Linked DNA regions of Pelodiscus sinensis. The protein of the gene in region 2 purifies or fractionates together with the protein of the main gene of each other region. This does not show direct contact. Links are inferred from orthologs where the notes say so. Each region holds a gene or a part of one and is shown on either strand. Other genes may lie near its edges.

Region 1 (7,846 bases), on a different chromosome or scaffold from region 2:
TCCCTTATCAACTAATCGTCTACTTGATACAAATTGTATCGACTACACTATTTGCCAATTACCCGCCTCTTAACATCCTTATTTTACATGCATACCACATAGACAACTGCTGTTAGATCATCCGTTTCATACAAAAACAATATAAATAAAACATCTTACCATTTCCTCACCCAAACAGATACACAACTTCACTTAAAAGGACACCAACATTTTAAGTGATATTTTAATAATTTCTTTATTTCTGGTACTAGCTTCTTTGCTCTCCACACAAGCTCCAATTTCCTCTACCACATATAGAATCAACAGGAATTCTATTTCCCGTCTAATTTCCTATTTCCCTTCCACAGACTGGCTGATTAAACTTCTGGAAACCCAAATCTGTGAACATATTTTAGAGGCTGTGGCACAAGGAAGGTGCACTCAGATAAGAGTCTCTGTGATAGATGAAGATGCCTGTATAGACAACTTCATAGAAAGGAAGGAAAGCTGAAACCATAAACAGAGGCTGATGACACTCTTAAATAAATAAGGTAACCCTGAAATTATAAAACATCAATAAAAAAATCTCAATTTAATCTATTAACAGCTACAGGCTGGACCTCCTGGTCTGACACTCTTGGGACCAAGGCAGTCCAGCCATAGTAGACAGGGCTGCTTGCCCCCAGCCACTGGGGATTTTCTCCAGGCTGGTCTCACTCCAAATCACAGCAGGACTCCCTGCCCCGGCTGAAGAGGTTTTTCTCCAGGCTGATCTTACTCTATCTGCGGAGGCAGGACTCCCTGCCCCCAGCCTGCCACTGGCCTGCTGGATGGGCTCCCTGCCCCAAGGCTACTGGCTCTACAGGTGGCCAGCCATGGGCAAACTCTGTGGCTGGGGCTCACTGGCCCTGCAACATTGGACCACAGACATTGCAGGATCAGAGAGTTGAGGACCACAGAGGTTCAACGGTGGAGTAAGCTGCTAAGCCTATTCATCACATAAGCATTGGTACGTTATTAATTTTGTCATCTGAAAAATGCTTGCTGCTATAATCATAGCAGAAGGAAGACATGCTCACTTGTACAGGTGGATCTCTGGAATCAACATAAACCTCTTTCAGTAAGGTAAGAAGTTTGTCATCTTTTCTGCGGATTTCCTCTTGGAGGTCTGAATAGTCTAAGAAAAAAGATTTAAAGCAGAAAATCATTTACTTGCACACATATTCTTGTTGGCTTATACCCATAAGACATCACACAACTCAAGTGAAAATTAATGCATGTGAAGACAGTGTAAATACTTTCAGGGAAATCAGATTTCCATGTTATTTCTAATATTCACAATACTTAATCCCTCATACACAAGGAAAAGAGAATTTATTATGCCTATTCAAGAGGAAAAGAGTAGCAATTTTAAGCAATTAGGCCAGGTCTAGAATAGGCCAGGTCTAGAGGTAGCAAGGGGGGCAGGGAGAGGAAGGGGTGTTTCAAAGCTGCAGCGCCATGTGGAGCCCATGGCAAGACCCTGGGCTCCATGCGGTGCTGCCGTCTTGAAATTCTGCATGCAGTCCACGGCCAGCTGGGGAGTCCCCAGCTGGCCCAGGTTGCACGTGCCATTTCAAAATGGCAGCACCACATAAAGTCCAGAGTCTGCTACTTTGCAACGCTGCGTGGAGCCCAGGGTTGCAAATGGCATTTTGAAGTGTCAGCACTGTGTGGAGCCTGGGGTCAGCTGGGAATTCCCAAACTGACCTCAGGCTCCATGCAGCACTGCTGCTTTGAAATGCTGCAGGGAGCACGGGGCCAGGGCGGGGGGACTGCTTGAGTCCCCCACAGATCCCATGCGCTCTGCAGCACTTTCACCTTTGAAATGTAGCAACAGCCCTGGAGACTGTTGCTACACTTCAAAGGCAGAGGCACCCTTATTGATTCGCTGAATAGTCAATGCAAATTGCATCAACTATTCAATTAGCCAATTAAATTTAACATCCCTACCACAGAGCCACCTGCCACCCCCTATCCTCCCATGCTGCTGCCTCTCAAAGAGACAGAGACAAATTTCATACCCTGCAAGATATAATTAGGTCAACCTAACTAACATCCAGTGTAGACACAGCTGGGAATTATCCTAATGACCTATCTATCTACCACCTTGTGGAGAGGTGGATAACTTTAGTGACTCTTCCCTTAACGTTATCCTGGTTAACATTGTTCCATTGCTTACTGATTAGAGCACATGCTCGGTTAGAGATGTTAAAATGTGCTTAAATAACCATGTAACCCTCCTCGCCTGGGGAGGGAAGGCTGGTGGGTTCAAGTCCCAACCTGTTCCATGCATGGGGCAGTCGGCTCCGCAGGAGCTGGGGGACAGACTGGCTTCCTCACAAAGTCACACAACCCACAAGTAAACCAGGCTGAGACGCGAGGACCCCACCCGCCAGCCTATGCCCTGGATCAGCAGCGTCCAGCCAAACAACAAGGCTGAAGGTAGCAGCGGGCAGGATTAGGGGTCACTGTCCGCAGCAGCCCGCGGCCGCTCCCAGCTCCTGGGCTCCTCGCAGCCTGCAGGGCTCCGCTGGGGGAGACAACCAGCCCCTCCGTCAACTGTCCCCTCCCCGCCCCGTAACCCGCCACAGCCCCCAGCCCTGCCCACTACCCCGCACGTGCCCCAGCGCCCCGAAATCCACCTTTAGCAGCCCCTCCCCCCGCGGCGCGTGCCCCAGCCCCCTGCCGCCCCTCCCCCCGCGGCGCGGGCGCTCACCGGGCAGTGCGCGCGGCGCGGCGCGGTGCCGGGGGGCCGGCGTGGGCTTGTTCTTGCTGATCTCGCGGCTGGCCCGGTTCTCCAAGTTGAAGTTGCGGAACGCGCGGGTCACCCTGGCGCCCATCGCCTCCGCGCAGCGCCGGCCCGCGCATGCGCCACCGACCCGCCCGCCAGCGCCCCACCTAGCGGCCTGGAGGACCCCTGGCAGGCGCGGGGGCGGGGCTGAGCGCTCAGGCTGCTCGGCGGGGCACTGCTCCGCTCTGCCTCAGTTTCCCCATCTGTAACTCGTGCGGCGGCTGCTGCTGCTCACGGCAAGGCGTGGCCGGGGTAACGATACTCTGAGCCCAGCGCCGCCTACTGCTCGCTCGCGCCCGCCCGCCCGCCCGCCGCGGCGTATGGGGCCGTCCCAGGGCGAAAGTGACTTAAATGCGGGCGGGGCTGTCGCTGCGGGCAGCACAGGGAATGTACGTGGGGCCGGGGCGATAGGTGAGGCTGCGGCGCGGCGCGGGGTGTGTGCAGGAGTCGGGGGAGGGGTGGGAAGTGTGGGGGGCTCAAGGCAGAAATGTGGGAGGTGCAGGAGTCAGGGCAGGGATTAGGGGGGGGGTACTCGAGGCTGTAGGGCAGTGGGGACTATGCTGCTGGAACCGGGGCTGTGGCACTGGGCTGCCTAGGGTGAGCCTCCACAGTGCCCTTACCTTGAAATGAGCGACCACCATTTGCACTGTGCAAATTGCAGTAACTTATTTTGAGAGAATTTCAAAACGAAGCACTATTCCAAAATGTCCCCTACCCCTCGTGGAAGGAGGGTTACAGGGATGCCGGAATAGCGTGCCTGTTGTTTTGAAATCTATTTAGAAATAACAGACTGCTTTAAAGATGCAGAATAGCTAATAGCTTCTGGTATCCTGAAATAACTCCACAATGTAGATGTAGCCTAGCTGTGCTGTGGCCACGCTGCCCAGGGACCGTGGCTGCTGGCTAGGGCTAACAGGGCTGGGTCCTTGCCTTCCCCACACCCAGCTGTCTGACGCTGGGGCTGACAGCCATGAGGGAGCAAGGGAGTGGTTTGGGCTTTGGCTGTGGAGGATGGGGGCCAGAACAGGAGGGGTTAGCCAAACATGCCCAGCAGCAGGTCTGGAACCTTACCCATGGACAGTGTCCGACAGCATCCAGAGCCCCGCCCTCAACCAGCCACTCTCTTAAGGGTTTGCCACACTGGGATGCACCAGTTTTTCACTTCTGGTTCAGACTGATCTCAGCAGAGGCACTTCTTTTTCAGGTTACCTATAAATATACTGTGAGTATGATGTCTCTAAGGCAGTGTTTCTCGAACTGTGCTCCGCAGAGCCCCAGGGCTCCGCGAGACATCTCCAGGGACTCCACGAGGTTGACAAACTGGAAACATCGATAGGTACAACACATACAATCAGTGGACTGCTGGGGCGCCGCATAAATTTTTATGCATGTAAAGGGCTCCGGAGCCCAAAAAGATTGAGAACTGCTGCTCTAAGGTTTAAATTAATTTGTAAAAATAAAAGAAGGTTGTTCTCCTGCCACAGCAGTAACTGTGAACTCCGTTATTGTTTCATATGGGGATATTAAAATGCATGCAGTGTACATATATTATATATGTATTTCTATGTTATATGAAAACTCAGATGCATTTGAATGTTATGCAAAAACCAGGGCTCGACGACTGTGGCGAAAATCCACTTGCCAACCCCGCACCGCACATGCGCCAGACCCACATTGCGCATGTGCGCACCGCCGGTGAACAGGGCGACCAGCTGAAATCCTCGCCACGGGCGAGTAGATAAGTGGATTTGTTGAGCCTTGGCAATAACAATAATAGATCTGTCTGTTACTGCTGATGTGAAAGAACATTTTTCTTTCTTTAGGCCTACAAACACTTATGAACATGACATGAGTGGTCCTATGTCAGTCAACAGGGCTTTTTATGTGGCTAAAATCACTGATTTTCATAAGGGTATGTGAGACCTGTTTTTTTTTCCCCTTGATTTTTAGCTATGCCCAACACCCAGATCTCAGATTGAAGTTAATGGAAGCTGTGGGTTTTCATCTAATTGAGAATCAAACCATGTGTTTAGTCTTGGAGTCACTTTCTTGAGATAAAGTTGGAAATATCCTCATGTTGTCAGACTGGGGTAGGTTTTCCACCTTCCAGAGTTTTGATAACCAGAATGCCCACATCTTTTCATCTTAGTATTAGCTTTGGTACAGCATAGGAATTAGGGATATTAATGTGTATTTGTATACATGGTTAACTGATGTGCCTTGGCTCATCAATTACAGGAGGCCCCCAACTTGCAACGTGATTGGCTCCACGAGAAGCATTGCAAGTTGGGGGTGTTGTAACTCAAACCCTCATTTACAATAGGTGCTGTGCACCACTGTAAATGCGGGCTGAGGACATAAGTCAGGGGTTTCTGGCCCTTTCTACACTTACAAAAATGGTTGAAAGTGTGGGGGGTCAGAACTCGGATGGTCGCAAGTCGGGGGCCTCCTGTAACCTGCACCATTACATGCACCTCCCACCCCCACCTCTGTATCAGAGGCAGCAGCATGGGGTAGGGAGGAGCTGGTGTTGGGGAGAGCTGCCTTAAAAGCTGGTTCCTCACAAGTACCAGCTTCTGCGGAGCCACCAGTTCCCCCATGCTGCTGCCTCTAGTTGGGGTGGCTTTCAAACTAGCTTCCCACATGTACCAGCTCCTGTATAGCTGCTTGCTGCCTCTATATCAGCATCTACATTAATTTTAAACATCTTCTTTGTGTTTTTTAATTGGTGAGTTTATTAGGATAAAGGTACCATTTAAGTATTTCTGATGACCTTTCTCATCACTGCTATTCTGTGATTGGAAAGTGTGTGATTTTTTCTATACAGGTACATCATTGTTCTCATCAATGACATTATGACAGTTTTAGGAGGCAATGCTGTATGGCAGGGGTGGGAAAACTTTTTTGGGTCAGGAGCCACTGACCCATAGAAAAATAAGTTGGGGGCCACACACAAGTGAGATGTAAAACAAAACAAAAACTCAAAACTCACTGAGACAGCCCCTGACTGAGAAGGAGAAAGATAGTCTCCACATTTCCTTCACTCACCAGAGCTTTGGGGAACCCAGCCTTGTAAATTTTGTGTGTTCCAGCCCTGCGGAGGGACAGTAGGAGGGCTAGAGCACCAGTGTGGGCTCCCCAATGCTGGGGGTGGGGGGTAGGAGGAGTCCTGAGCCTTGGGAGCTGGATTTAGGCAATCTGGAGACTGCATCTGGCCCCCAGGCCTTAGGTTTCCCCACCCCTGCTGTATGGATACGTTATGTGCCCTATGTTGGAGTTTTTCAGAACAACAAATTATTACAGGATGGCAGTCTGTGGGCTAGCTTGTGTCACAGGACTGACTAAGGACAGTGTGAAGGTACAGTACCTCTCTCAGATCCTCATTGAGCAAAGAAAATGCAGCATTTGCTCTCAGCACATCCATCCAGTTCTACTGACCTACATGCCAGGGAATTGGGAAGGGAGTATCTACATCAAAACCATAACTCGTGGTAGTACATAAAGATTGCTACTAGCTTGGGCCCTATTGTGTTATCAATATATGTATTTACACATAATAAATGCCAGTCTTTTCCCCAATGAATTTACAGTCTGAAAGACAAGACATAATAGGTAGATAAGATAAATGGGGTGGCAGAGAGAACAAGTAGCAAATAAAACAGGATTTGCATCTGGGGTTACTAAGCTCTTTCTGGGGTCCTGGAAGAAGTAACCATTGTATTCCCCCAATTCAAAAGCTCAGGTCTTCCATCTCTCTTATGTAATGATATAGACATAAAATTGCCCTAAAGCCATATTCTGTTGGGATCTAGTTTAGAAACCACTACACAGTATACATAGTAATAGGAACATAGGAATTGCCAGACTGAATCAGACCAACGATCTGTCTAGTTCAGGATCACTAGGAAGTTAGTGGGTGACTTGGTTATGCTTTGAAGCACAAAGATTTCTAACTCATAAATGTTTATCTTGTAATGTAACTGTCATTTCTTGTTCGTATGAATGTCTTTTCTTGGTGTTCAGAGATCATTGTTGGTACAATATTCATTACTATCCCTTTAAGAGAAGTCACAAATCATCCATCTGCCTATTGACTGAAGGCACTGACCTTAATTTGAAACAAAAGAAAGTGCCTTTTGGCACCAGAAATTTCTGGCTACTGGAATCAGACTCAGCACAGTACTGCTGTGCAGTTTCTTTAAAGCCTGATGTGACTAACACTCCTGTGGTATTGCCAGCAGCAGACAAACTCACCAAAAGGCAGCCAGTTAGTTAAAAATAAAGAGTGATGTCATTCTATGTCTGTCATTTCCCATCACTAAGCATGTTACCAGGCTGTATGTTTCATTGATTGGGAATGACCAGGACTACAAGATTTTCATTCTAAGTCTGGAATCTTTCATACTGACTGCAACAAGTAAAATATTTGAAATGTTTGAATTGAAGATATTTTCATGGCATAATTAGGCATTTTATCAATGTAGCTGTATCATTGATAGAAACACTTTACCTAGTCCCACACCTGCATTCTTAGTTAAAAAGTTGTGATTATATTTTTTCTTGTAAGATAAAGTCTGTATATTCTATTTGTCCCGTTTTATAAGAGTGTTTCATTGCCACTGAATGAGTAAGCTTATCTGAATTGTTCTGGGGTATTTGTAGTAAACAGTGTGATTCCTTGCTTTCCCATATACCAAAATGAAGACCATAAGCACATAGGAACTGCTGTGCTGGAACAAACCAGTGGTTCTAGTCTGATATCTTGTCTCCGATGGTCTCCAGCAGCAGATGCTTCAGAGGAAGGTGCAAGAAACTTTGTATTAAACAGATGAGGGATACTCTTCCCACACACACATACACGCATACCTGGTCTCATCCCTCCAACATCTACAAGCAGACTTATTGAAATTGCTCAGCAATTGCAGGAAACAAAACTGTTTGGAGAAAGAAAAACACTGGTGAACATTTTCTTTTCCATTTTCATCAAAGTGTTTGAATTTTTTTCCAGACAGCTCTGTAGCTGGATGGAAAATT
Region 2 (7,467 bases):
AGTCATATTCATCCACTACATTAGCCCTGAAACCACACAAAGCGATAAACAAACGCACACAGAATGGTGTGTGAAGAGCAATGCACTTGAAGCAAATCATACCATGCCTCTGTCCAAATACAAAGTGTCATTAAACGACGGTATGCCCTACAATTCACTGGTTAGTGACTTATACGGTCCCTTGAAATGCGTTAACCACTGATGCTATACAGTTTGTTCCCTTGTGACCCACTCAGTTCGTTAGCTGGTTTCCCAGACCAGAGGAAGATCTCTGTGGAGCGCGAAAGCTTCTCTCTTTCACCCACAGAGGCTGGTTCAATAAAAATTACTCGCTTACCCACCTTGGCACGGTCAAACTGCCTCACACGCTGACAGCCAGCAGGTAGCACTAGCATGCGTGGAAGTCAGCAACCTAGTACCCCGACAGGATTGGGACAGCAGCGTAATATTTGGGGACGGTGGAGCAACTGGGTTTTGTTATTTTGTTTTTGTGAATTGTGCCTCTGTCTCTGTGTATCCCTATCCATTTGGCCCTCCCTCATGGGAGGCGCTCCCTGTAAACGTCACCAAAGCGACCTCATTCTGCTCTTTCAAATCCCTCCTGAAAAATCCCCTTTGCCATATCCCTACAAAAAATTGACAAGAGCCAGGCTGCGGAAACTACCACTGATCGTGCTGGCCAGCACTGTTATATCGGGTCTCTGCGCTCCCCAGTCTTCTTGTCTTTTGGACTTTGACTGCCAGCTCTCTAGGCTGGGAAGCTCTTTTTGTTCTGTGTTTCTGCAGGGCCTAGTTCAGTGCAGCCTGGTTCATGACTGCGCTCCTAGATACTTCAGCAGTACAAATAAAAAAAACAGATACAAACTATTCTCCTAGTCGACCCTGATGTGCCTAATCTCCTATATTTTGGAGCCGTTTAAAGCTGGCACTTTAGCCCCCAAATATAAGCTCAGAGCAGGAGATCGTTTAGAAATAACTTTAACAAAGATAACCCTATTAGCATGAAAATAAATTAAAGCAGTCATTTAAGTGTGGCCATTCTTCAAAGCATTTGCCACCAAAACCAAACACGGGGCCAAAAGCAGGGCTTTTCAGCCTGGGTTTTACAATGGGGAGTTGGGTTAGGGGGTCACAAATAGGTGTCAGGGTAACACAACACTCCCCCTTTTTCTAGGGCTAGACTGGGAGGAGGCCACAAAACTTTTAAACACGGCCTCAGTAGATAAAAGATGACAGCCTGGGTTTTTTTGAGGGGTGGGGGACAAATCCAAGAGCCTATTTCAAGCAGCAAAGCCATAACCCTTAAAGGGCAAAAGCAGAAATGGCAAATAAATAAATGTTTGAGGGCCCTGCTGTTTTAACCGAGTAGTAACCAAGGGAAGGGTTTAATTTATTGAGAAAATATGAGTTTTGGCATGGCTGTGCTGGAATCATTACACTCTTGCTTTGCAGTGGTATACTAATGAGAGGTTTATAATCTCATGCAAGTAGCTACAAGCCCATGGGTGCAGCGAGGGGGTAGGAAAACCCCAGCCCGGCTTGGCATTCACCCCTCCCTCCAATCTAGTTCAGAGCCTTTCTGGGTTTGCGCAGCACCCTGCAGCCTGTTGATCCACAGCCCAGGACTTGCCACCTGTGTGAGTTTGTCAGACAAGCCCCACCGAGCGGTCCCTGGCACTGGTGCCCACGAGATCCCAGTGGGTCACGCTGCCAAAATCCACAGGCAGGCTGGAGGGAGGGGCGAGCTAGTTCCAAGGCTCTTTATAAGCGGGTCCTGCAATGCGCGTCACCCAGACATAGAATATTAGAACCAGAAGAGACCTCGGGAGATCAAGTCCAGTCCCCTGCCCTCATGGAAGGACGATTAGATGGTACCGTCCCTCCCCGTGTCCTCCCCGCTGCAAACACAGACACCCCACCGGGGAGACCCGCCACCCAGACCCCTCAGCTGGGGGGCCAGGGGAGGGATCTTTCCACCACAGAGTTGGGCCGAGCCCACTGGACAGGGGGACCCTCCCCCCCATGAGAAAAGGGAGCACCCCCCCTTCTTCAGAGCCTGGCCCTGCCCGGTACCCCATTCCCAGCCCCACCCCGAGGCAGGAAGCCTGGCCCCGCACCCCATTCCCAGGCCCCCCAGGCAAGAAGCCTGGCCCCGCCCTCCCATATTCCCAGCCCCCCCCAGGCAAGAAGCCTGGCCCCGCCCCCCCATTCCCAGGCCCCCCCCAGGCAAGAAGCCTGGCCCCACCCCCCCATTCCCAGGCCCCCCCCAGGCAAGAAGCCTGGCCCCGCCCCCTCCATTCCCAGGCCCCCCCCAGGCAAGAAGCCTGGCCCCGCCCCCTCCATTCCCAGGCCCCCCCCAGGCAAGAAGCCTGGCCCCGCCCCCTCCATTCCCAGGCCCCCCCCAGGCAAGAAGCCTGGCCCCGCCCCCTCCATTCCCAGGCCCCCCCCAGGCAAGAAGCCTGGCCCCGCCCCCCATTCCCAGGCCCCCCCCAGGCAAGAAGCCTGGCCCCGCCCCCCCATTCCCAGGCCCCCCCAGGCAAGAAGCCTGGCCCCGCCCCCCCATTCCCAGGCAAGAAGCCGGGCCCGGGCTCCCCATTCCCAGGCCCCCCAGGCAAGAAGCCTGGCCCCGCCCCCCCATTCCCAGGCCCCCCCCAGGCAAGAAGCCTGGCCCCGCCCCCCCATTCCCAGGCCCCCCCCAGGCAAGAAGCCTGGCCCCGCCCCCCCATTCCCAGGCCCCCCCCAGGCAAGAAGCCTGGCCCCGCCCCCCCATTCCCAGGCCCCCCCAGGCAAGAAGCCTGGCCCCGCCCCCCATTCCCAGGCAAGAAGCCGGGCCCGGGCTCCCCATGCCCCAGGGGGCGCTGTCCCGCCGCAGCCCCCACGCACCAGCCAGCGCCGCCATCCCCTTCAGCCAACCTCTGCCCGCCCGGGCCGCGCGCCGCCTAAACCGTCCGCCCGGGCCCGGTGCAGCCACTTCCGGTCCCCGCCCGCCGGGAAACACGGGCCGCCCCTCGGGTTCCGCCGGGCCCAGGGGACCTGGCGGGTGGGGGAGGATAAATGTGGGGGTGCCGGGTGCGCGGACTGGCGGTGGGGCAGGCCCCTGCAACGAAGGGGCCCGGGGCTTTCCCGGCGGGGCTGGCGGTGCAAAGCAAAGGCGCTAGGGCGGGGCTGCGGGGGGGGGGGGATTTGCCCCTTTTCCTGCTCCACGTGGAGCAGGGGCAGCTCCTGCCTGCCCCCCCCCCCCCCCCCCCGCCTGGGAGCGGCTTTTCTTTCCTTTGCCCGAATCCCAGCTCCCCACTTGCAACCTCGGCCGTTCCCTCTGCATCGCCCCAGCCCCCCTCTTCCCCAGCCCCGCCCCAGCCCCCCTCTTCCCCAGCCCCAGCCCCGCCCCCGCCCCCCTCTTCCCCCGCCCCAGCCCCCCTCTTCCCCCGCCCCAGCCCCAGCCCCCCTCTTCCCCAGCCCCAGCCCCCCTCTTCCCTCGCCTCCCCCAGCCAAAAAAAGATCCCGGCCGCGTCCCTGGGTGGGCTCGAACCACCAACCTTTCGGTTAACAGCCGAACGCGCTAACCGATTGCGCCACAGAGACCCAGCTGTTCGGGAGATTTCTGCAACACCTTAAGAACTTCAAGGGGGGGAGGGGGGGGAGAGAGAGAGAGAGAGAGAGAGACTGGGAATTCAGGGATTTTGGAGAACAAGGCAACACGCCTGATTCCAGGGCTGGGGGGGAGGGGGGTGTTGAAGGTGACACCTCGGCTGCCCCCCCCCCCCGACTCAGAGAGCTTGCATCTTGCAGGGCCATGCAGCTAATACCGAGGGGTCTGCCGAAGCCAAGCAGACAGGCTCACCCGCTCTCCACCCACCCTGGAGGCCGGTGTCACTGACGTGTTTCAGGACAGCAGTTGCTCCAGTTCAATTAATCTGTAATCACGTCAATTCCACTGACGTTTTTCTGCGGGGACAGAGGCATCCCTGCCCTGCATGGCTTCCCCGGGCTAAGGTCCTTGGGGGCCTGGCCAGTGTCTTCCTGTGTTTGGTACAGCTAGGCTGATGGCTGGGGGTAACAGGGAGGACGTGCCGCCTTGTGTACACGGGCAATGAGCTGCACGGACACCAGAGCCCTCTAGCCAAAACCCCATGATCTGAAGCCAACGAGAATCAATCTTCAATTTCAGGGCAAGGCAGAACAAGCACACAGAACAAGCAGCCGAAATAGCTCAGTTGGGAGAGCGTTAGACTGAAGATCTAAAGGTCCCTGGTTCGATCCCGGGTTTCGGCAGATGTTTTCCTTACTTCTAGGAGATTAGTTTTACTAGAGTTTCCATATCGCTGGGCGGATGCACTTCATCCAGTTCCCGGCTGAGTGGCCAGGCGGTTTTGGGGGGCTGTTTGCTCCCAGGTAATGTTTCACCTGCTGATCCCCACAAGCTAAGAGGCTGTTGCAATTTCCCCTTTGAGTTCGGCTTCTGCAGATCAGAAATTGGCTCAGGGCCACACATGCCAGAGGTTGGATTTTTGGGGGGAAGGATTAAAAAAACCACCCACCTCCTTTTTCTTAAAACTTGTAGCAGTTAATCCCCCCTCTCTGCAAAAACACATCAGATGAAATAAAATATCTTTAGGTTGTTGGGAACACTTGGAACTTTAGGGTTAGGGCCAGAAGCCCAAGAGAATGAGGATGGGTGCAGGGGCTCCAGGAGCTGTCCAAAAGCCACAGGCACCTTCCCCTAGAGTCTAGGGCTACTCAACACATGGCCTGCAGCCTGTTTGTTTGCGGCCGCCATGTGGTTTGGGTTTGAGGTTCAACAAGGACAAGTGCACTGTTACAGGCTGGGGCCCAACTGGCTAAGTAGTAGTTCTGCAGAAAAGGACCTGGGGATTACAGTGGATGAGAAGCTGGATGAGTCAACTGTGTGCCCTTGTAGCCAAGAAGGCTAATGGCATATTAAGTTGCATTAGGAGCATTGCCAGCCGATCCAGGCATGCGGCACCGCCCCCGGGCGCAGGGTGCATACGCAGGCCCACCCCTCCAGTGTGCATGGGCATGCCTCTGGGGTGCAGGGCACACACACGCGCCAGCCACAGCCACTGGCGCAAAGCCCGGGCGCCCCTGGGATGCTCGGCACATGCGCAGGCCGATCACGGTCGCTGGCATGCAGCCCGGGGCCCACCCCCGGGACGCACAGCGCATACGCTGCCCAGCCCGGCCTGGGCTGCTGGTGCAAGTGCCAGGTCATGCAGGGCCCCACAGCCGGGGGGGCAAGGGCACTGCAGGAGCCAGGCGCGCAGCTCCTGATGGCAGCTGTAAGGGACGCCGTGCACCCCTTACAGCTGCCATCAGGCGCCCCCTGTGGGTTGGCGCTCTGGGCAGCTGCCCAGCTCGCCCCTGCCTCCATCCGGCCCTGCGTGGGGCTCAACAGGCGGCCCAGGGATGGGATCCTTTGAACATGGCCTCCACAACGTGTCAAGCATTGAAAGACACAAGCAGATGGGCTGGCCAGAACAGGCGGGTACAGGGTGTCAGTGTTTCTAGCTCCCAGGGCAGAGGTGCTGGCTCCTTAGCCTTGTGGGCATGTGACTAACTGTCTCCCGGCTGCTACAACAGAATACAAGCCTGATCTGAGCCTGATCTGAAATAGCTGGTGAAAAGTTTGCAGATACAATCTTCACATTGATTGTACTTATACCTCAGTAAACTCCAGTGCTGTAGTGGCAGTTTTTGTTTGATTTGTTAAAATTGTGAAGCCAAAACAAAAAAAGGAGTCAATATAATGGTCTTCTGTTGATATACGCTTTAGTAGTTAAATTCCTGGACTTCATTTGCATAAAGCCGGACGGCGCCATTTTTAAATGCCGGCTAGTTCGGACCCCGTGCCGCACGGCTACACGCGGCATGGACTAGCTAGTTCGGATTAGGAAGCCTAAGCCGTCCGGCTTTATGCAAATGAAGCCCGGGAAATTCAAATCCCGGGCTTCATTTGCAACTCCGTATGACTACATTACCCCCCCTAGTTCGGACTAGGGGGGGTAGTGTAGACATACCCTAAGGGAGTTTTTCCTAATGTCCAACCTAAACCTCCCTTGCTGCAATTTAAACCCATTGATTCTTGTCCTGTCCTCAGGAACTTCAAAAGAAATCATTTTTCTGAAAGAATAGTGGAAGGGCTATATTTCAATTCTCACAAAAGGTGCACTTATTAATACAAGATAGCTTGCAACTGTACCCACCTATAATGAATAAGCTCATTAAAATTCAGGATTTTTGGTTATTCTGCTTTATTAAAAATTGCAGTAGAGGTCACTACTTTCTGACATTCACCCAATTTATCTTACAATATCAACAAAATATTTAATCTCAAATACTGTATCAAATACATTTAATGGTATTGGATATACTCATAGCTGGAACCTTCGGACAATACAACATGCTCCTAGAAATTTGTTTACTGAGCACAATCAGCTGTATTTGACACACATGAATTTAATTTTAATAAGTGTTGTAGAGTTCATCTCTCATCAGGTACCAGTTTATTAGTATTTAAGAAACTGAAGTCACACAGAATAGCACAGAAAGGTAAATACGCTACACAAAAGAAAATGAATACTGAATGTATACTGTTAAATGTAATATACTATCTTAGCATGGAAGTTAAAGTGTGGTCTTCAGATTTATCTGTATTGTACAGAAGTGGTCTATGTGCTTTCTACATGAGTGAAAAATGTGTTATCACAATGAAATCTACTGACACAATTAACCCTTTGGATACATATGTGCAGCACTCACTGAAGTCTGTAACAGCCAAATGTGGGTCCGGGAACAGAATTCAGCCTTAACATACTCATAACCCTTCCCCCCCCCAAAAAAAATAGTAGTAAAAAACCGATCTAGCCTTTGATTTCTTGAATGTAATCATGTTTCCATTTTGTTTTTAATTATTTTCAAGGCTAAATTGTCTTAGGCACATTAAAATAAGAAACTCCAACATTACACACTACTTTAGGACAATCCACTCTTGGTTAAAGTGCAGTTAGACTGGACATTAGTACTAGTTTGTACTTTAAAAAAAATCTTACTGCAAGATGTGATTAGACAAGGAGAGAGGAAAAATGAACAGGGGAAAGAGCGTGATATATATAAATAAGGCATCAAAATAAGGCATCAGAATTGTTGAGGTTACATCTCCTCAGATTGTAATTCAAGAACACGAGAATTTTAGTTATTGTAGCATTGTTTAGAAGTCCTATAAATATGGCAACAGTGATAAAAAGTGCATGTGTGGTTATGATTTATTTCAGAAGAGGAAATGAAGATCACATTGTGATAGAAGCCTTCCCTCCAACTTTAAGAAATCTACATCTGGTGTAGCCCATTTTCTCTGGTAACAGTGACTGTATTAGGGTTTTTTACATCTCACTTCTGAATAAGAAGTTTGCACATTGTAAGGAGAAAGCACCAAGTCTCAGAAATCTCCAT

The links.
Region 1: the proteins of NDUFS7 (region 2) and NDUFAF4 purify together in Homo sapiens (co-immunoprecipitation; 4 studies listed by BioGRID and IntAct, counting the BioPlex papers as one, with this or other methods). This does not show direct contact. The link is inferred for Pelodiscus sinensis from reciprocal best matches to the Homo sapiens genes NDUFS7 and NDUFAF4.

The regions. Positions count from the first base shown.
Region 1 is NC_134713.1:68,594,963-68,602,808, forward strand, and holds the start of NDUFAF4 (NADH dehydrogenase [ubiquinone] 1 alpha subcomplex assembly factor 4), read right to left. Parts: upstream 3,003-7,846; 5' UTR 2,862-3,002; coding exon 2,738-2,861; intron 1,157-2,737; coding exon 1,059-1,156; intron 1-1,058. UniProt on the Homo sapiens protein: Involved in the assembly of mitochondrial NADH:ubiquinone oxidoreductase complex (complex I). May be involved in cell proliferation and survival of hormone-dependent tumor cells. May be a regulator of breast tumor cell invasion.
Region 2 is NC_134729.1:17,276,539-17,284,005, reverse strand, and holds the start of NDUFS7 (NADH dehydrogenase [ubiquinone] iron-sulfur protein 7, mitochondrial), read right to left. Parts: upstream 3,003-7,467; 5' UTR 2,900-3,002; coding exon 2,884-2,899; intron 1-2,883. UniProt on the Homo sapiens protein: Core subunit of the mitochondrial membrane respiratory chain NADH dehydrogenase (Complex I) which catalyzes electron transfer from NADH through the respiratory chain, using ubiquinone as an electron acceptor. Essential for the catalytic activity of complex I.